Drosophila melanogaster: one gene and its partners. The protein of the gene in region 1 interacts with the protein of each later gene in a pairwise test. Each region holds a gene or a part of one and is shown on either strand. Other genes may lie near its edges.

What was found.
Region 2: the proteins of Cpr11A (region 1) and CG15080 interact in a two-hybrid assay, tested with the Drosophila melanogaster proteins (one large-scale study listed by BioGRID).
Region 3: the proteins of Cpr11A (region 1) and CG12992 interact in a two-hybrid assay, tested with the Drosophila melanogaster proteins (one large-scale study listed by BioGRID).
Region 4: the proteins of Cpr11A (region 1) and Usp12-46 interact in a two-hybrid assay, tested with the Drosophila melanogaster proteins (one large-scale study listed by BioGRID).

Annotation. Positions count from the first base shown.
Region 1 is NC_004354.4:12,484,967-12,489,963, forward strand, and holds Cpr11A (cuticular protein 11A), read left to right. Parts: upstream 1-2,003; 5' UTR 2,004-2,115; coding exon 2,116-2,127; intron 2,128-2,860; coding exon 2,861-3,075; intron 3,076-3,350; coding exon 3,351-3,530; intron 3,531-3,675; coding exon 3,676-4,081; 3' UTR 4,082-4,482; downstream 4,483-4,997.
Region 2 is NT_033778.4:18,781,336-18,786,348, forward strand, and holds the start of CG15080 (uncharacterized protein), read left to right. Parts: upstream 1-1,963; 5' UTR 1,964-2,343; intron 2,344-5,013.
Region 3 is NC_004354.4:17,587,250-17,592,241, forward strand, and holds CG12992 (uncharacterized protein), read left to right. Parts: upstream 1-1,615; 5' UTR 1,616-1,681; intron 1,682-1,738; 5' UTR 1,739-1,846; intron 1,847-2,708; exon of another isoform or gene 2,709-2,765; 5' UTR 2,766-2,952; coding exon 2,953-3,219; intron 3,220-3,267; coding exon 3,268-4,299; 3' UTR 4,300-4,457; downstream 4,458-4,992.
Region 4 is NT_033777.3:22,749,208-22,753,902, forward strand, and holds the start of Usp12-46 (Ubiquitin-specific protease 12/46), read left to right. Parts: upstream 1-1,693; 5' UTR 1,694-2,159; intron 2,160-4,695. Other genes in the region: rumi, read right to left, coding at 32-1,131, 1,182-1,317. UniProt on the Drosophila melanogaster protein: Catalytic component of the Usp12-46 deubiquitylase complex.

The DNA of each region.
Region 1 (4,997 bases):
AGACTCTGGGGCGTGTGCAAGTATGCATAACAAATGCGATTTGATATCAAAGACACGGACGAAATAGCAGACATCAAACATCAGAAACACCAGGTTAATTTCCAAGGCGAACTCAGTTGGTTGAGCCAGACGAACTAACTAACTAACAGCCATCACACATTTGACAAGTCGCTGAAATGGCCAAAACGTTTTCATTAGGCCAAGAAGATCAAACAACCAACCAGAAGAAGAATTAAATGGCCAAAAAAAAAAGAGATACTTCTTTTCGAATGAAAAATGAATGCCGTGCGGCATTCGTTTAAGTTATTAAGCATAAAACTTAAATTAGAAGCACCATTAGCGATTATCATTAGAGCTGCGTGTCCGGTCCGGTTTGATTTCAATCTCATCCACGCGTTGGGTAGACAAAATGTGATAGACTTGATTGCTGACAGCCATAAATGCAGTGTTCAATCAAAATATGTTTGCAAAACCCGCCAATCCAGGAATAAATGTATAATATCTATAAGTTGGCCAAAAAATAGTTCAAAAATAATAGATATATATATGTTCAAATGCAAGCCAGGTTTAGCAAACAGAAAATCGAAAGAATATGTCTATAATATTAACATTTTAAAATATACAATATTTTCGTTATACCTTGAATTTTGGGTGTATATGTGTGTCATTGTATTTTTCAAAACAGTTTGATAAGCCATATTGTCATATATCAGGATTTGTATAAACTGTTTACTTTTAGAGCTCTAAAATTGGCAAAAAGGAAATAAATATTAATTAATCGAGAACTAGTTTAAAAAAAGGTAAATTTTGAACATTACATTTTTATGGGGCCTTAAAAATGGAATATGAATAACTATCTTAAGATAACTAGAATTCAAGGCAAGCGCTCTGAGAACCCAATACAAACATGAACCATCAATCAAATAACAATAATGCAATTTACAAGTAAATTCGGAAGATTTAGAAGACCAAACAAAGAGTTTCATAAATGGAGCCATTAGTGTAACCAATAACTATGCAAATGATGGAAATACAAAACGCTGAAAAGCTACCGAAAGCGAAAATCCGATGACCCTGTGCGGTCCGAAATGGTTAAATGGCATTTTTGAGCCCAAGATCTCACGATCTCTTAAGAAGATCCCAAGACACCAAGCACCGAAGACACCAAGACAGACACTGATCCGCCAGAAGAATCGCATTTGATAAATTTTGATAAGACCGAAAACGAAACGGCTAATTAAGCGAAGGCTGACTGATATGCATATTAGCATATGAAACCGAAGAATGAGAATGGGGCATCTTATCAGTGGTGAAGAATCATCATCGCCTCTTTCCGCTGAAGAAACGGATGAAAGATTTGCGGGTTCCATTCAGCGGCACTTTCGGAACTTGGAACTTGGGTGTCCGCTAAAATAAACTGGTCGCCCAAGTTAGTATAGTATATATATAGTTAGTATATATATATATATATATATATTCCATGCTTTATAAAAAATTAACGCAGATTTAAATTTACGCACATGCACACACTCACACAGACACACACACCACACACACACACACACACTCAGGGAAGAGAATCATCATTAAACGTGTATGCTAATTTGATGATGGCGGTTTTCTAATTTTGTTGCCACGAAAACCAGATTTCTATGCTTTTCGATCTGCGATCAGTCTCCGTCAGCAACGGAGATACCGAGAAGGGAGAATTGTCCAGAAGACCCGTAAAATGTTACATCTTCTGGATGCTGAAGATTCACCGATGGATGATGCCCCTCATCTGGGCTAATCCCCTTCCTCACACACATACACACACATATATATATATATATATATATGCATATATACCATACCGATTTCAGCGTTGACAAACTTTGGCTTTTTTTGATTCTAAGCGGCTGCGACGCCGACAGAGGCTCAGTTCGTTGTCCGGTTCCTATTTCTGTCGACTTCGCTGCCGGCGTCGCTGATAATACCATATATAAGGAAACAAGAAGTCGCATCGTTTGTATTTATTTGCTAGAATCTGTGAGCATCGGAACTAACCGAGCCGCTACAATAAAAAAAAAAAAACATAAATTAGTCCTCGTTACGAAAAAAAAAACACACATAAAAATGAAGAGTTTTGTAAGTGCCCGAAAGTACTGAAAAGTATATATTTAATGAGTTATTTTTTTTTTTGTGGTGTCTCAATAAAAAAAAGGATCAAGTGAAAGTGCGCGCAAAAAATGTCCTTCAAAAGTGTGAATACTTTTAAGCCACAGAAATGACTTTAAAGCTTATTTTGAATCTCAAACAAAAGATACACATTAAAATCAATTTAACCGAAGTTCCTGCGAGGCTGCTTTTTAGTTTTTTTTAAGCTTTACCTAAGAATTAGTATGCCAAATTAAAGAACTAATGACCCACACTTTAAGGAAAGTCCGAAACCTAAAGTGTTTGAATATCACCTTGAGCAGCCGCATAGCTCATCGACGTCAAAACAGACGAATGACAAATATCGAAACGGTTGGAACCCATTATGATTAGTGCCTCGGCCCGAAACCAAATCAAATAAATCACAGCAAATATAGATAAAAAAAATTAAAAAGACTAAAAAAAAAACGAAAAAAAAAATAAATAAACGAGAGAATTGCGAGACAAAGCGACGCTGTGCGGTCAGAAACGCCAGCGATTCGCGCGCGACTTTGATTAATTGCCCGTTAATGCGAAATGCAAAATACGAATCCCAATTCAAATCCAAATCAAAATCCGTATCCAAATCCGAATGCGAAAAAAATAAATCGTAACGACTGTGATCCACAGATATGACTAATGCATCGTGTGACAAGTGGCACTAACCAGGCATTCTATCTTTTAGCTGATCCTTCTGGGTTTCGCTGCTCTGGCCGCTGCCGATGTCAAGCATCTGACAGATCGCAATCTGGACCTCTTCAAGTACAATCCCAGCGATATCTACACCCTGCCCGAGGACATCGATGACGACAAGCCGGCGGTGCACTTTAGCGGCGATGTCATGAAGGCCAAGACCGAAACCCTCCAGAACTACAACTCGGGCAAGAAATTCAAGCTGGAGTGAGTATCTATGGTACCTATATAGTTCATAAAGTGATAGTGTTTGGCTAAATTAAAACATAATTATATATTTATATATGAAGTTGAATCGCAGTCTAAAAGAAAACTACTTTAACATAGGTTTATAGATCTGTAATAACTTTTGATGCATAGCAAATAAATTCAAGTAATTTGATATATTTTTTTAAATAATTTACAAAGCATCAAGTAATTTGATATATTTTTTTAAATAATTTACGAAGCATTACTAAAGTTAAAATGAACTTTTTTTTCAGACTGAAGACCCAGAACGGCATCGAAGTGAGCAGCGTGGGCAAACTGAAGGACGACAAGACCTTCGTGGTCAGCGGCTCCTACTCGTTCACCGGCGCCGATGGCAAGCGGTACAAGACCCGTTACACCGCCGATGAGTTCGGCTATCATCCCATCACCGAGCTGGATCTGGACATTCCCGAGTGAGTAACCAATACACTTTACAAAAAAAACGTTTAAGAACTTCTTCAAACTAGCACATTTGCGTACAAATCAGAAGTTTCATACACTATTATTGCAAATGATATAATGAATATAAAAAACTTATTTTATATTTATATATTTTAGACCCCAGCCTTTGGCTTCTGCCGGACAGCGCCAGACCGTGGATCCCAGCAGCCTGTTGGGCAACAAGAACCGTTTCCAGTTCCTGCAGCAGACCCTGGACTCCGATCAAGGATCGCAAGGTCCTCTGAGGGGCAGTGGACAGAGTGGCGATGACTATAGCTACACGTCTCCCTATGGAAATGGCAATGCTTACGGTAATGGAGTTGGAAACGGATACGGAAATGGAGTTGGCAACGGATACGGAAATGGAGTTGGAAACGGACAAGGAAATGGAGCTGGAAACGCATACGGAAATGGAAATGGAGTTGGAAACGGATACGGAAATGGCAACGGCAATGGCTACGATTATCAGCCACCTCAGGTGCCCCTGGCGACGCCATCTCGTCTGTATCTGCCCACCGCATAAGGCGATTATTATTTAGATATACCCTTATCCAACACCCTTCTCCCGCAAGATTTATGCCCCACCCGATTCCCGATTCCTGATTCCCGATTCCCGATTCCCGATCCTCGATTTTCCCCCCAGCTGCAAGTATTTAGTTTTTAAGTGCAACTCCAACAGGCAAATGAAGAGTAAAACAGAGCTAGCGAAATTTTTTTTTATCATTTTTTAGTGTTATACACGGAGCACAATTTTATATGATATTATACACTGATATATGTTATATATCTAGCCTACACAAAAACACGCACACACACACACAAAAAAAACAAACACACACACAAATCCCGAGCAAAGACACAAACGAATCTATGTATATACACTGAGTGATATTAGTAGTAAATAAAATGGCTAAACTAACGATCAAAGTTTTAATGTGTTTTAATTGAGGAATAATATGGATGGGGATATTTATATATATATTTTGGCTTTGTAATAAAATGTTATTGCAAGCAATTGTTGAAATTTTATTCAGCATCGTTACAAAAAAAAATTCGTTGTTTCAGAATAAAGTTAAGTTTTATTAACTGAAAATGAATAGTTTGTTTACTGTTTTATAAGCATGGCATATACAATTTTCCAACTTAGATACAGAATCTATTATTACAGATTATGATTTTGTTCGAATGCCTAAAAGCATGCAACAAACGTATGAAATTCATCTGCATCTACATATAAATATATAAATTAAAGCGATATTTAATGACTTCTAGTTAAGGCTCTTAGCAGCAGACAAGTTTGCTTGATAAATTCGTTATGTATATGGAATTTAAAACTTTTTTAAAAACGGAATAGAGTGGTAGCCAAATGGTCAAAGTTATGACATTGCTCATACGCCACGTTGTACACACTTTTCTCAAAATAATGCCTGCCAATGCTT
Region 2 (5,013 bases), on another chromosome or scaffold:
GTTGCATCAGCATCAGTTGCGAATCACAAGCGACGGTTTATCTGCACCTGGCCCAAAAGATTCTACGTCTAATTGGTCTGAATTATGCCATAAAAACATGTCCAATTAAGTTGATCTATTTTATGTCGGAGTGTGGGAAATATTCGTGTCGAATTTTATGCAAATCTCGTTACTCTTTTCCGCATACGTCGCGGAAAATGCGCAAAGAGCTTGGGAAAAGCCATTCATAAACAGGGGCCTGAAGGTCGCGATCTGTTACCTTTGCCATTTGGCAGCGCCACCTTGGGCGTGTGAGCCATTTCAGTGAGACACCTGTGAAAAGGTCAACGCTAATTGCCGTCCCCCAACCATTGGCTGCCAATTGAATTCGATTGAATTTGATTCTCTATCTGCGAGGCAGGTGAAAGTGCTTTGTTCTAGAAACAGAGTTGCAAGCCAACTAAATAACATTCAGCGGAAGTTCAAGACGCGAGTCGCGGTTGAATGATCTCCGAACGCCAAGAGATCCCGTCACATAACTTAGGCCATGAGGTGGAAACCTTCCTCGTACGTCATCAGTCCGCACATAACTCACGCCCACCTGAGGCGGCAGGTGAGGCACACGGACAGACAGGTGGGCAGGCGTTATGACAAGTTGACTGATTGGATTTGCGGCGACGATGTTGCTGCTCCTGTCAATGCACTCATCGCCCGTCGCAATTGCCGCTGGAAAATTGAAATTGAAAAAAAAATGCGATTGAAAAGCGTCCGAGCATCTCGTTTGGGTTACCCAATGCATAATGGATAATGGCGGACGCTGAACGATATGCTAATTAACTTGATTTCCACGATCCATAAACGTCTCACTTAGACAATTGTTTGCTTAACGGAAATTGTGCGGCTGCCGGCATGAGAATATTTTAATTGCCCCAAAAGAAGTTGAAAAAGACCTCTTTTTAAGGCCAATTCTAGCAGACCAAAGAAATATTTGGCAACAAGCTGAGCACAAAAATGTATTTTAAACACCAAAATATTATCTGGAAAATATTATAAAAAGATTTAAATATTTATTTCTACCTGCGCTACTTGATTGCAAACATTTCAACCACATATTTAATCCCAATTTCGCACTTTTTGTTATTATAGGTTTTATAAAGTTTGTAACCAATTTGTAACAAAAGAAATGCGGCAAAGGCCAGCGAAGAAAAAATGGTTTCTACGCGTTTTAATTGCTAAATGTCAATCGGTTTATAGGTTTCCTAACAAAACAAACAAAAATACGAGGAAACGCGTACGAGAGAAGAAAAAAAAACCAAAACAAACAATTCAATTAAACTCATAATGGAATTTGTGTAGCAAGAAAACGACCTTGGCTGCAGAGCAAAGCCTAAAAAGCCAATTAAAAGCTAGATGCACGGCTCGAATGCCACATGGCACTGAGTCAGAATTATGGAATTGTTGTTATGTCTGGCCATATAGCCGCACATATACACATATATCACATATATCAGCGAGGGGTGTAGCACGATTCATAAGACCCCCACACAGTCGGATCGATTTTCCCAGCAAATGTGGTAAAAACTTGTCGCCAGCAAAGATTGCAAAACTGGAACAGCATCGCCGCAACTAACGCTAAAACAAGTTAGCATTTATGGCCGACTTGATTTGCATTTAGTGCATTCTTGTGGACACTCCCCCTTGGCAAAACTCTATCCCCATCCCCGTTTTGTTAATTTCAATTAACCACAACAAATCATTGGAGGATCATTTTTAGCTAGGAGCTATACCGCTCTGTTTGACCAAGTCTTTTGTTGGCCCAAAAGCTGTTAAAGCCGCTTTAGTTGCGCCGTTAACGCTGACTGCGACTGCGCTGCCTACTGATCTGCTAACTGCTCGGCCAGCGTCGACTTCGACGGAGGCAGTTGGATGAAAACCACGAGCGAACCACTCTTACTTACTTTGGCCCGCGACGCTTTTCATTTCTTCAGTCTGTTAACGGCACGCCAACGATGCAGACGCGTCTAAAAACCAGCTCCGGCTAACTGTTAACGCAAGATAGTAATAACTTGATTTGTAAGTGTAACACTCATACGCATCGAGTATACGCACAGTGGTACCAACGACATTTGATTTTGCATCTTTTGCCGAAAGTGCGTGAGCTTCCTGACGTCTCAAGTGGATAAAGTCAAAGTGAATTTCAAGAAATCGAAAATATAATTAATATACAAAAATAAAAGTAAAACGCTTGAATTGCTGCTAATTTGGCGAGTTGGGCAAGTTAGGATCTTAATTAAATTAAGCCAAGTGAAAGAGAAACAACAGCTGCCGTTCAGGAAGAAGAAGAAGAAGCAATAGAGGAGAGTGGTAAGTGGGGTTTTTATTTTTTATTTATTTTATTTTTTTTTTTTTTTTGCCAAAAAAGGCGAATAGAAATTTCAGCTCTCCATTCAACTAACCACACACTCAACGCATTCGACTGTCTTGGCAATTTTGCTGTTTATTTTTTCATGCTCTAATTATTTGGAAATTTCATTTTGTTTTTGCCCACCGACACTCGTTAACTGGCATGCAATTTGTTTGCCCAAAGACTTATGGACCATACATCTAACCAAAACAACCGTCCATCCTCTAGAGAGTCAAGTTGAGTCAAGCTTTATGGGCAGACTTCCTCGTTAAAAGATAAGGTGGCCAGACCCCTGACCAAAAGAAAAGAAACTGGTCCATCAGTATTCTGTGGGTTCGTTTTGGGTTTTTCATCTACATCTCTAAGTCTATCTCCATTGCCACTTCATTAACCCAATTTTCACCTGGAGAAATTTTATGTTTCGTACAAGAAAAATCTTGTTTATCAGGCCAATTTGCATACAGACCCCACTTCCGAGGGCCAGACATTTCTCTTCCCTAATCTTCGATGTGGCATCTGATCTTTAACGGAACTAATGTGTACACTTATTCGTTTGTTTGTCATTTTAACATGAGGGCAAACAGAAGAGGGAAATCATAAATTACGCCGTAGCGTCTTATTCGTTTTATATATGTATTTCTTTATTTATATTTATGCGAACTTTGTTTTTTTTTTTATGTGCGAGCGGACAGCGTTTTCGAAATTAAATACTTTCTAATTACAATAAACGCAGGCGATGGCCGCCGGCCGGCCAATTGCCTGTCGCACGTCCAGCAAAGTCCATATCGTAGCCTTTGGCAACGGGCTGAAATCACGTAGCCGCCGCATCGGCCAATGCCAGCCGATATAAAAGAGGGATGGGTTGGCAGCGGAGTGGTGAGGGGGGAAGTGGCGAAACAAAACTCGCGAAAGTGTCAAGAAAATATAATACTGCTCAGACTCACTTTTTCTTTATTGTCATGTCTTAATGTGGCGCCTGATGTGTTTATTTGCCACTAGCCTCCTCCGCCGCCAATTCATATTCCTACCCCTCCCTCACCTTCCTCCGATGAAAGTGAAACGTGCGAATGACTTTGCGTAGCTGCAGAAGCTTCCATCACTCGTCACTTAGCACGTGCCCAGCGATCCTACCCGTGTGGTCTTCGTCTTTCACGGCTTTCAATTACTCAACCGCATAATGTTCAATTTGTCAAGCGTTGAGCCCGGATTACGACTTTCTCAGCGGGCCAAACAAAAGACTTAAGACACAAACTTGCTTCATTAGTTGGCTTTGTTCGATGGAATGCGTTGCAGATCCTAATGCGCACAAGTTTTGGTGTTGATTACTCACGAATTGAGAAATCAATGCAACCATACCTTTGTTTATATTACAACTTAAATTATCCCAGATGATTTAGCCATACCAAAGAGAATTTCAATTTCAAAGATCAATATCGAATATGCCCAGCGGTCTTTCAAAACCATAATTATCTCGCACTAGTGACACGCACTGAATTCTAAATGTGAGTAATTGCAATGCATTCAGCAATATCAGATTCAAAGTGCATTTAAGCGGAGGTAAAAACTAAAAAATCAATTCAAATGGCTTCCAGGCCGGGCATTTATTGCTGGTTCGCTGGAACTAAATCGTGATTTGCAGTTGCATGTACGGCCTCCGTAAGACCCCCTGATCCTCCTTCGGCACCCCTGGAATACCCACACAGTTGATTAGTCAGCACCCGGCTGGTAGAGCAAGGCAACCATTTGGGGCTTTTTGCTCCGTTTTGTCTCTGTGTTTTCCTTCTAGACCGACAAGTTGAAGTATCTTGGCCTACTGAATTTTTTCTCACACTCCGTGTCTTGGTCACGGATGTGGATTGATTGCTAATGTTCATCTGGGCACATATATATCTGTATATATGTATATATATCTATCTGCGGCAGGCGGTTTATGTGGATACCCTCGCCAAGTTGCCGAGTTGCACAAGTCTGGTTTGGTCTGGGCCAGAATGAGGCCCACACTCGAGACGTGGCCAACAAGTACGGGTACTTGTGGCTATACATTTGCCGAGCCACTCTTGCTTTCTTCAGCTGCTCCATTTGGCGGCTGCTTTGTTTTGTCAGCGCTTGCTTTATGGTTTTTCATATATATAGAGTAGCTACTAGCAGCTACCTTAAGTATTGCTCTGTTGCAATTGTCACATTGTTTTGGGACACTTTTCTGCGGCTCAGTGGCGACGACGACTGTGGCAATAGTTTTGTAATTAGCTTGGCCCATCATTTGCGCAATTCGATTTGCGATGTCCCAGGTGATAAGTGATATTTAAGGCACTAATTTCGCTTGTATCCGGTTATCCGGCTTTTATTACGAGTTGCGCAACCACAGCGCCCCCGCATACCAAAATGTCGAGGGAGAAATACTTTCGCTTTCAAATGCTCGAGCATAAATTCTTGGGATTACGCAAGCTAAATGCTTGCGGCATGTTTTGGTTTGCTGAGCAGGTGCCGCCAATACCAAACCAAAACCAAAAAGCCACCTCCACCAGCTAAACAGCCACTTACCTCATTTGGAAAGCAGCGAGAAATGAAAGTTTTTGTTTTTTCATTTTTCTGCGTTGCGTGAAATTTACATTTCGTTTAATAATTTCAAA
Region 3 (4,992 bases), 5.1 Mb from region 1:
GCCAGCTCTTAGCCAGATTTGCAAATCGGCAACGAGTTGAACGAACGATGGTAGCAATATTTTGACCATCATCATCATTCAAGAGATGACAAACTGCTAAATATTGAAGCAAAAACGTGGAAAAAATAAAAGAAGTGAAGAGAAAGGCAGCCATATGAACCACATTGAATGATTAACACTCTTTAATAGCATTAATGTCTTCATTTGTTTAATTTACTAATTGATTTCGCCAAACAAAACGCTGTATTTTAATGCTTATTGGCTAGTAACCAGAATAACTTGGCTTTGGCTTGGCCAGTAAGTAATAAAAGCCAACAAATGGTAAATAATAGATGGTGGTATCATATCGGACAGTGAATAAGGTCAGTTATAGTTTATTCAGTAGGGGTTTTAGTAAGCGATCAAACTAGTACCCAAAATGAATTAATAAAGGCAAGATAGCAAAGGAAAGAGGTTAGTATTTGCTGGTCAAACCGCCCGTTTTGAGGTCAAACCAAACCCCCTTGAGGGAGTTGGGGTAAATAGTTTTGCTTGCACTTAAACGAAATCAATGCGATTAAAATCGACTTGGCCCAGTCTTGCGGACGGCCAACTGAACTAGCCTTATCAACCATCGAGAATCGGTGTCAGCTAATCGAGCACCCACAACTACAACAACAAACCGCTGTCCCCAATAGTGGAGCACCACTTGGTCATTCCGACCACGTCGCATGGAAATGGAAAACGAGACGAAAACAGAAATGGAAACGGAAAACAAACCTAGAAGCCGAAACCAAAACAGAATAAGAAGCAGCGCCACTCCAAACATGGTCAACGAAATTTGTTTTGTGTTTTGTCACTTTCTCAGCCCAGAACCAAAGAAACACAAACGCGTCATATGGGTGCGCCCTTCAGAAAAATGTGCACAATAATGGGCAAAAGTGTACATGGCTTATAAAGTATTATTCTTACAAATACTGTGACTATAAATCGGATTTAATAACAACTAATCAATTCAATGGACAACTCAGCATTTGCATTATATTAAACCTCTAATGTGAACGCGCTTATGATATTCAAAGTTCAAAGTGTTATTTAGTCAAATAAGGTAATATGTCTGCTAGTAATTTGCCCCCTGCTGTAGTAACTATGTACGTCATTTGCAGGGGTTCTGAACCCAACCCATAGCAGTGGTTCACGTTACACTCGAGCACGTTCTTATCGCAATTAATTGCAGCGCATTGCATAAGCATCGCAAACTTATAGGGTGATACCAAAACGTAAACATAATCTCTGACTCAGCCCAGTGGGTAGCAATTATTAATTATAATTAATAAGCCAAAAGCCAAGGCAAGTCTTGCTTTGATTGGCCAAAAACGCAGCCAGAAGCGGAAAACAAAAACTGAGTCGAATTACACCACAGTTCAAGGGATACAAAAGGGAGTGGGCTGGGGGTCGATATCTGGCTAAGATCGGTGAGCTTACCCAGCCGGATCGGCACTGGAGCGCATCTGAGTGTGTCCACGTCAGCGGGCATCCAAAACAGAGCAGAAATCTTGAGATCCGAGTAATCTAGATATTGTCCTTCAAGTCAGTATTGTGCCACTCAACTGATCAACTTAAGTAGCTTGGAAATTTACATCAAATTATGACAAGTTGTTAGAAAAGTAGTATATACATATTCCTTGGCACGGGCCTTAAAGTAATATACATTTCTTTCTTATAAAATGTTTAATTTTATTACTTGATTTACTTGCAGTTGCATCTGAAGTGCAAGAAGGAAACAAATTAAATATTCACTAGGGCGGAATACTAAGGAAAACTCAAGCCACACACTGAGGAAATCAAAGTAGGAACAACTAAAACTGTAAGTAGTAACGCAAGGAAAATAAGGGAAATTGGGAAAAGGGAAAACAAGCAACATCAACATCTGCAAATCATATGCAGAGCGTCACTCGCATATGGATATGAGATTTCAGATTTTCGTGACCATATCCGGTTGCCAGTCAGCAGTTGCAACTGCAATTGCAGCTTCCATCAAAACAATAGCAAAAACCAAAAGACGAAATGCGGAGCGAACTGAAAACGCAACTTGGGTCTTTTGGGGCCCAGGGAAATCGCATCTTGGCATTCGCCATTGTTGCTATGGGGATTTTTTTCTTTTTTGGCGGGGGGTGTACAATAAATATAGGGTGGAAGTTGCGTAAAACGATGATATGATATTCACACATAGATCGGGCGATAACATCAATAACTAAAGATGATGTGGAAATCAGAAGGTTCAAATGATGTGCCTATAAGGTTACATACATAAATAAATAGATAAATACATACTCTTACATACATACAAAGGTTGTTTTCTAGTCTAGCAAATGATGTTTTAAATAAGAGAAATGTATTTGTAAGAGTACATAACTTGTATCATAAATTAATAATATTATTAAGACTCAACAATGGTTTGGTCTAAAATAATCCACCATTTGATTCAGTGTTTTGAATCCAAATTAAGTTAAGTTTGTTTTTGTTTTGATTTATATCCAGTGTTGAATAAGCTTTTCATGTACTGTGTGTGTGTGTGTGTGTGTGCATATGTTTATGTTCATCTTATCTTGTTTATCTAGCATTGTATAATTAGGTTTAGATTTTGTTAGAATAAGTTTAGATACATCCAGTGCTGTATAATGTTCCAATAACTACATATTTATCTAGTATTGCATAATTCATTTTAGTGTTTAAATAAGTTTAGATAAATCCAGTATTGTTTAATTTGCTGATGAACTTAGCAGTGATTGGCCGAAAGTGGGAAACCTAACCTCATGTTCTAGAAAAAGAATCGCCAACAAATTTCAAGTAAGCAGTGCCTTCTGTCAACTCGAATGTCATTTGGAATTGCCTGAGCTCTATTCAGTTTCGTATACCTCCGGATTACACGTACTAACGTTTGAAAAAAAAAAAACTAAAATTCCAATCAAAATGCCACACAAAAAATTTCCCAGAATGTCACAGGCGCAACTCAAACGTTTGATCAAATCACAAAATCAGAACATAGCAAAGGCCGCGTGTATTTTGGAACCCCCAAAAATTATACAGCAGCCGTCGATGAGGCAGTCCATCATTCCACCGAATCCTGCTTATAGCAAGAAACAGGGCAAAAATGCGGCTCGCCCAAATTCCGAGCGAGCTGGAAAGGTGCCAATGCAGGGGCTGAACCACGTGGTGCCGGAGGACACTGTGAAACAGGTGAAGCAATAAGTATAGTGCAAAAAGCGGGCTTATCGCATAAAATAGTACTTTCAGCATAATCAATCTAAGCAGATGCAACGCAATCGAAGGAATCCATCGTCGAAGATGCAACAAAATGGCAATGAAGCATCCAAGCAGGAGAAGCCCAATCAGCACGAGGACAAGAGCCGTCCCAAGCAGTTGTATTCAAGCGTTGTGGCCAATAAGCAAGACGGGCCCACCGCAGTGAATGCTCCTCCACCCAAGGAGGGCTCATCTGTCAATCAAATTGGATCGTGTTGTCATCATGGCAATGTTTCGGGCGAAAAGCAGAAATGTCCGGATACCAGCTCATCATCCGCCACGTTCACTTGGCCCAGTCAATCGGTTAAAAGCCAGGGGTTTTTCGGAACTAGCGATTCTTCAGCTGACCCATTCAGCATGCAGAATCTGAAGAAGATTGCCCGGGATTTCTTCTCATATCCGGAGTTTCATCCACCGGAGGCCAGCGAAAACATTGCCGCTGCCAATGGCTCCAAGAAAGCTGAGCCCTCGAGGACGAAATCCCAGCCGGGTCTCAACTCTTCGCCGAGAGGCTCTGCCTTGGGTGCCGATAGGTCGGGCCATCCTCAATCGATTGCGGGTGGAACGAATTCTCGCCGGAAGGATTATCCATTGGAGGAGGCCTTCATGACCGTAATCCGCAATCTGCGCGAAAATTATCCGGGCAATGATTCGATTTCATCTTCAAATCGCCCGAATATCCAATTTGATAACTACCAATCGGCGCAAGGTTTCGGCTATGGTTCCAATTCCTATTACAACGCTCAATCGACATCCGCTTACGGCTATCCTCCGACTGGTTTTCCGATGTCCCAGCAGTCAGGCTTCATGCCAAAGTATAACCAAATGCCGACGGCTAATGGTTCAAATTTAAATCAACCGCCATTGATTAGCGAAACTTATCAGGCCGAAGCGCAGCAGCATCCTTGCTGGCCGGTATATATTCCGGAATATGTTTCGCATTTTATGTTCGGTGAGCCACAGGACGCCAATGCCAGCTGCTCTCGTAATTCAAACCACGGCAACAAGATGTAAAATAGAATCCGGAGGGAAATCGGAATAGTGTAGCATTTAAAAATCTATTCATCATTCAACACCATTCGAAAAAAATTGCTAATGTAATACACAGACCAATTCCGTAATCCTAATCATTTATTTTGCATCTATGTATTAATAAACATTTGTAATGTTACAAATATTTTCCATATATTTGTAAGCCAATTACACTTAACCATCTTTTGTAATGATGCAATCCGAAGATAAACAAAAAATGTATGCATCTCAACTACCTCAATTAGAATTTAAGTAAAATGTGTAATGATGATGATGTATAAAGAAATGCCATCAAATTTCACTTTCAACTCGGCGGAAGAAAGTGAAAAACATGCGAAAAAAGAAATTAATGAAAAAATCGAGCAGCTTACCAACAATTGAAATAAAGGAAAAAATCAACTAGTCAGCGTCGATTGTTTGGTGGTCAGTTGTTTGGTTTTCTACTATTACCAAACCAATGCCAACAAAAGAAATTTTTTTCTTTTTTCTTTTTTGGCCAAGTAAAATAAGAAATCAAATAAGATGAATCTTGCCTTATAAAATGTGAAATTTTCCTGCCATTATGATTAGAATTTGGGCTTAAGCTCATTATCTAATCAAAGATATTGATAACACCTGCGAAAAAGCAATTGAAGAAACTTACGATTGATTGATATACTTAATGTGATCGAATTT
Region 4 (4,695 bases), on another chromosome or scaffold:
AAATGCTTAAACACAATAACATTTCATTTCGCTACAGCTCATCCTTTTTAGGCCCTATGTAAATAAGTTGATCCTCCGGCTTAACCTCGTATTGCAGCAGCTTCACATATCGCTTGAGCAGCTTGCGCCAATAGCACTTGATGTCCTTCATGCGCAAATGCTCCCAGATGAAGTCGTATCCACGCTGAGCGATCTCCTGGGCCAGCGCATCGTTTTTCTTGAAAAAGGACAAGATGTGCTCGTACTCCTGCTGACTGGGGTAGCTCTTGAGCGGCACATAGTGCACCCAGGGCTTTAGTTGGTCGTAGAAGAACTCCTGCCACTCGTCGCCCACATGGAAGACCAGCGACTTGCAGAGGAACAAGTGCTTCAGACGAAAACTGGCGGCCACACCGCGGAAATTGAACAAGTACTTGTACTTGCAGTGGTCCTCGAAGGACACCTCATCAGCAGCCGGTGCGTCCAGTGTATCCTTAGGCGACTTCCAGCCCTGATTTTTGGTGTATTGAGCCTCGACTAGCTCCGGATTGCGGCGCGAGAGCAGAATAAGAGAATCACGTTCGTCCGAGGTGCGTGAACCGCGAAAGAAGCCCAGACTGCGTTTCTGTGACCAGGGTATAGCTGCCGCTCGCTTCTCCAGCTTCTCGCGCATCTGATCCCAGCGTCCAATGCCACGAGGATGGAGCTTGGTGGCCGGTCCTCCGGCCCAGAATGTCCACGCTGGATACATGATGTCGCGGTACTCCTTTGTCTTGGAGAAGGAGAAGACGGGACCACCAGCCGCGTTACCCCACGCCGCATTCAGCTGCGGATAGTCCCTGGTATTGATGATCAAGTCCATGTCGGGCAGCGTAGCCACCAGCGGCAGCAGGAAGTGTTCAATGCCCTCACAGCGGGCTGGGAACATGCAGTTGGCATCCCGGTACAGGCGATGTCCGTAGATCTTGTATTTGGTGCCGTAACGCGCTGAACTCTCGATCATCTGCCGGGTGACACCTGTTGACTTGTAGGGCGCGAGATCCCGTTTCAGAACATTTGCGTGGCAGGAGCAGTCGCTGTCCTGGGGATCACTGCTGCACGGCTTGTAGTCGGCATTGGCTTTTTCGATCTGGCGACGTATCTTGAAGCTAACTAAATTAATTGATTAATTAATTAATCGAAGCCGGCAACAAGTTGCTTACATTCATCCTCGTTTATTTGGTCGGGTTCACTTTGTGCACAGGATTTTTGATCGGCACTGCAAAGTCCGTCATCTTCTGCACCTCCTGTTCCTACCAAACTAATTAATAATACGACTATTAAATGATTTATTAGCATTTCTTTGGATGTAAACAAATTTGTTGGCCTTTGATTGCGGCGTCAGCAATAGGGTTGCCAAGTCAACTGAAACTATCGATATTCCAGAAATGTTTTTAAGGACATAGTTTTTAAAGTAAAATGAATGTCTACAATTGATGTAGAAAATAAAAGACTTTCTGCCATTTAGCTGCAAATAACTTAAGAGGAGAAGTAGTTGTGTTTTTAATAACTTTTTGTTACCTGGCAGCCCAGGCAGCAAAGCAGTGATTGAACTGTTACTTTCTTAGGCAGACCATGTCACTGCATTTGCAGGCAAAGCCCTGCAGTAGTAACCATTATTTTGTATGACCATCCATGTGATGGTCACCCTATGCGAGTAACTGTTCGCCGAGTTTTACTTTTGACGCGGTGTGCACACACTGGCCGATCCAACCATTATAAGAAAACCAACAAGAAACGTCGAAAGTTTTCTCCGTGTTAAAGCCAGCCAATAGCCAAATTACAAACGAAAACGACGATTTGCAATTTGCAAATTATGCGTGCGGCACCTAGTGCAATCGAAACCACGTAAACCCAACGAACGCGAGTGTTTTAGACCACCTGCAACCTGAAACAACCACCATTGTACATAATTTACACGAACAATTTTGCAACGACAACAACAAAGGACGCCGCGCTGAAAGAGAGAAGTTGACATAACTGCAAAAAGTAAATTGTATTTAACAGTGGTGGGCAACTAAATAAAGCCCGGATTGTAATATTGGCAACGAAAAATCGTAGTGGGAGTGGCCCAATTGCGAAAACGATGTTGTTTTGTTGAGACAATTGCCAAAAAGCCACCAAAAGTTCAACTAAAAAAGGTAATACATATGTATTTTTATTTATTTGCAAGTGTATCTGCATCTGTATGTGTGCGCGCGCGTGAGTGTGTGTGTGGGCGTACTACGAATAACAGTTAATTGAGCACTCATCGATTTTTTAGCCCCTTTATTGTGGCTCCTAAAAAAGGCAACTTAAATTCATTTCACCTCACGATCCGATCGCCAGATAAAATACAAAAAATAGAAAAAAAATGGAAGAAAAAACTGTTGGAAAAGTTGCCAGCCATCGTCATTAAGTTGATTTGCTACCGCCGCCGATGCTGCGATTTAATTTACCTGGCATTTGGTTTGCTTTCGAGAGCTCCAGTTTCCCATTCCGCCGCATTCCACCTGGGCTTTTCGTTTCTCGACTTTGATTTTCGTTTCCCATCCAGCGGCCGATTTTCCTGCTCGCCGACAAAAAAAAATCGTATCGCTTTCGTTTTCACATTGGACGGCGCGATATACTGGCTTTTTGTTTTTGGTCCGCGACCTAGGGTCGCATTGCCCCGCCCCTCCCGCACCAGCCCGACCGTCCATCAAAGCACCTGACTAATTAGTGTTGAGTTATTAACTTGATAATTATCGCTAGCCACGAGCGAGGTGCACTACTGGAGTTCTGCAGTGCAGGCCTACTTCCGTAACTCTAAACATCTCTTTCATTTTCCTAAGATATATGTATGTATAAACCATTTTAATGGCTTACTTTAAATCTTATTGTACAACATGGATTAGAGTATGTTAGGAGTAATCTCCAACTTATTTAATGTACTCATTTCGTTGTAATAATGTAGTATGATATCTTAATCAGATTCAACATTGTTGTTGATGAAAGTTAGCGGAAGTTGAATTGTATCTGTGCCTTGCAGTGACTAAGAACTAACTTGGCTATCTTTGAGGTCTTTTCGTTAAACTCGTTTGGAACACCATATCGAAATACTGAAAACGTTAAATACAAAAAAAAAAAAAAAAGAAACAAACACAGTAATTCGAGCTTGGCGCTGACTAAAGCTTCGCTTTGTTTATGGAAATATATGTGGTCATAATCAAGCTTTTGGAACCGAAGTCACACGTAAATCTTTTCTGCGCATTCAGACGTATCGATGCGATTGGGAGCCCCTCGACTAGCGTTTCCAATCAATGGTTCTTGGGAGAAAAACTTCGAATCATTTGCATTTTCAGTGGCGTGGCGACCCTCGCCTTCTAATGACTCGATTGATTTCCATTTTGGGCAACCTTTCTCGTTTGTGTAATGCCGGAAGTCGTTTGTCGTAACTTCTTGTATTGATTATAGATAATAATCGAAGAATGCTTTCCGTAGAACGTCTGCCAAATGGTCGTTGGCCAGCTAAAACAGCTGCCATTAGCCGCAGTCACGCTGTCTGGCTTGGGTCATACATCATTTATGTACTCCACTCCTTTGGGCAGGCAAATGACTGAACCCCCGCCCACCACCGATAACCACCCATTTCCACCAACTCCCACTCCGAAGTTCACGTGAAATGTGGCATGCCTAACCCAACCAGATGATTCATCATAACGTGGCATAGGCAGTTTATGCAGATTCCCTACCTTCCTTCCCTGCCAGCCAAGTGGCTGTAACACATTTTCATTTATGCTCCGCTCTCGCACACAATTTCTCCACCCTCTCGCATTTTTCCGTAATTTCCTGACTGATGAGTGAGCCTGCGCATTGGAAAATCGCTTTTCCAGAGCGGTAACTCGCCTGCCGAGTGGTGTGTTGAATTTCTGTTAGCTTCAGGGCTGGGTTGCTATTTTGACATGCTCTTCGGAACTTCTGGATTCATTATTATAGTTTTATTTTTAATGAGATTTTAAGAGCTTATCAATTTTACTACAATTTCCACATATATTGCCCTCTAAGACACGCTTTTGTTTAGAAATTGTTGCCGTCTTGTTAATTCAATTCCACACACTTTCTTCTGCCGCAGACTGAGACTGAAAATATATCCATTTCGCTGCGCATCGCATGTCCAGCTGTGTCAGCTTCTTTCGAATTCTTTGATGTTTCGAAATTGCCTGTCCGTAGATAATTCAGTGCGATTATATTGCGTGCCTGCTGACTGACCGCTCGTACATCATTAGCTCATCGGTGGGGTTTTGTTAGCTAATGGCCATATACTGCAACTGCATTAATAACATAATGTTTGTGTCATTAACCTGCGAACGGAACGAGTTTCCTGCTCGCGCAGCTGGAAAATCGCTTGCCTTTCGGCGGTGGCGGCTCTAATCTGCATAGAATGCGGATCGTCTTGGAAATGTCAGCTTCTCCCCCTCGCAAGAAAACCAGTTAACCAACTAATAGTGGGCCAAATTGCGATTGGTAGTATTTCAGTAGGCTATTCGAACGCATGCGTGACCGCGTTCGACAGTTGGTTTTGTTTACATTTTGGGTTATTGATCGGCTGGCGCACGATTTGATTCTCCGTGCGCTTATCATCAGCACGCACACCATGGTGATACTACACATATATGTAGCTAATGCGGCGGATCTGGTCATGGGCTCTGTGTCATG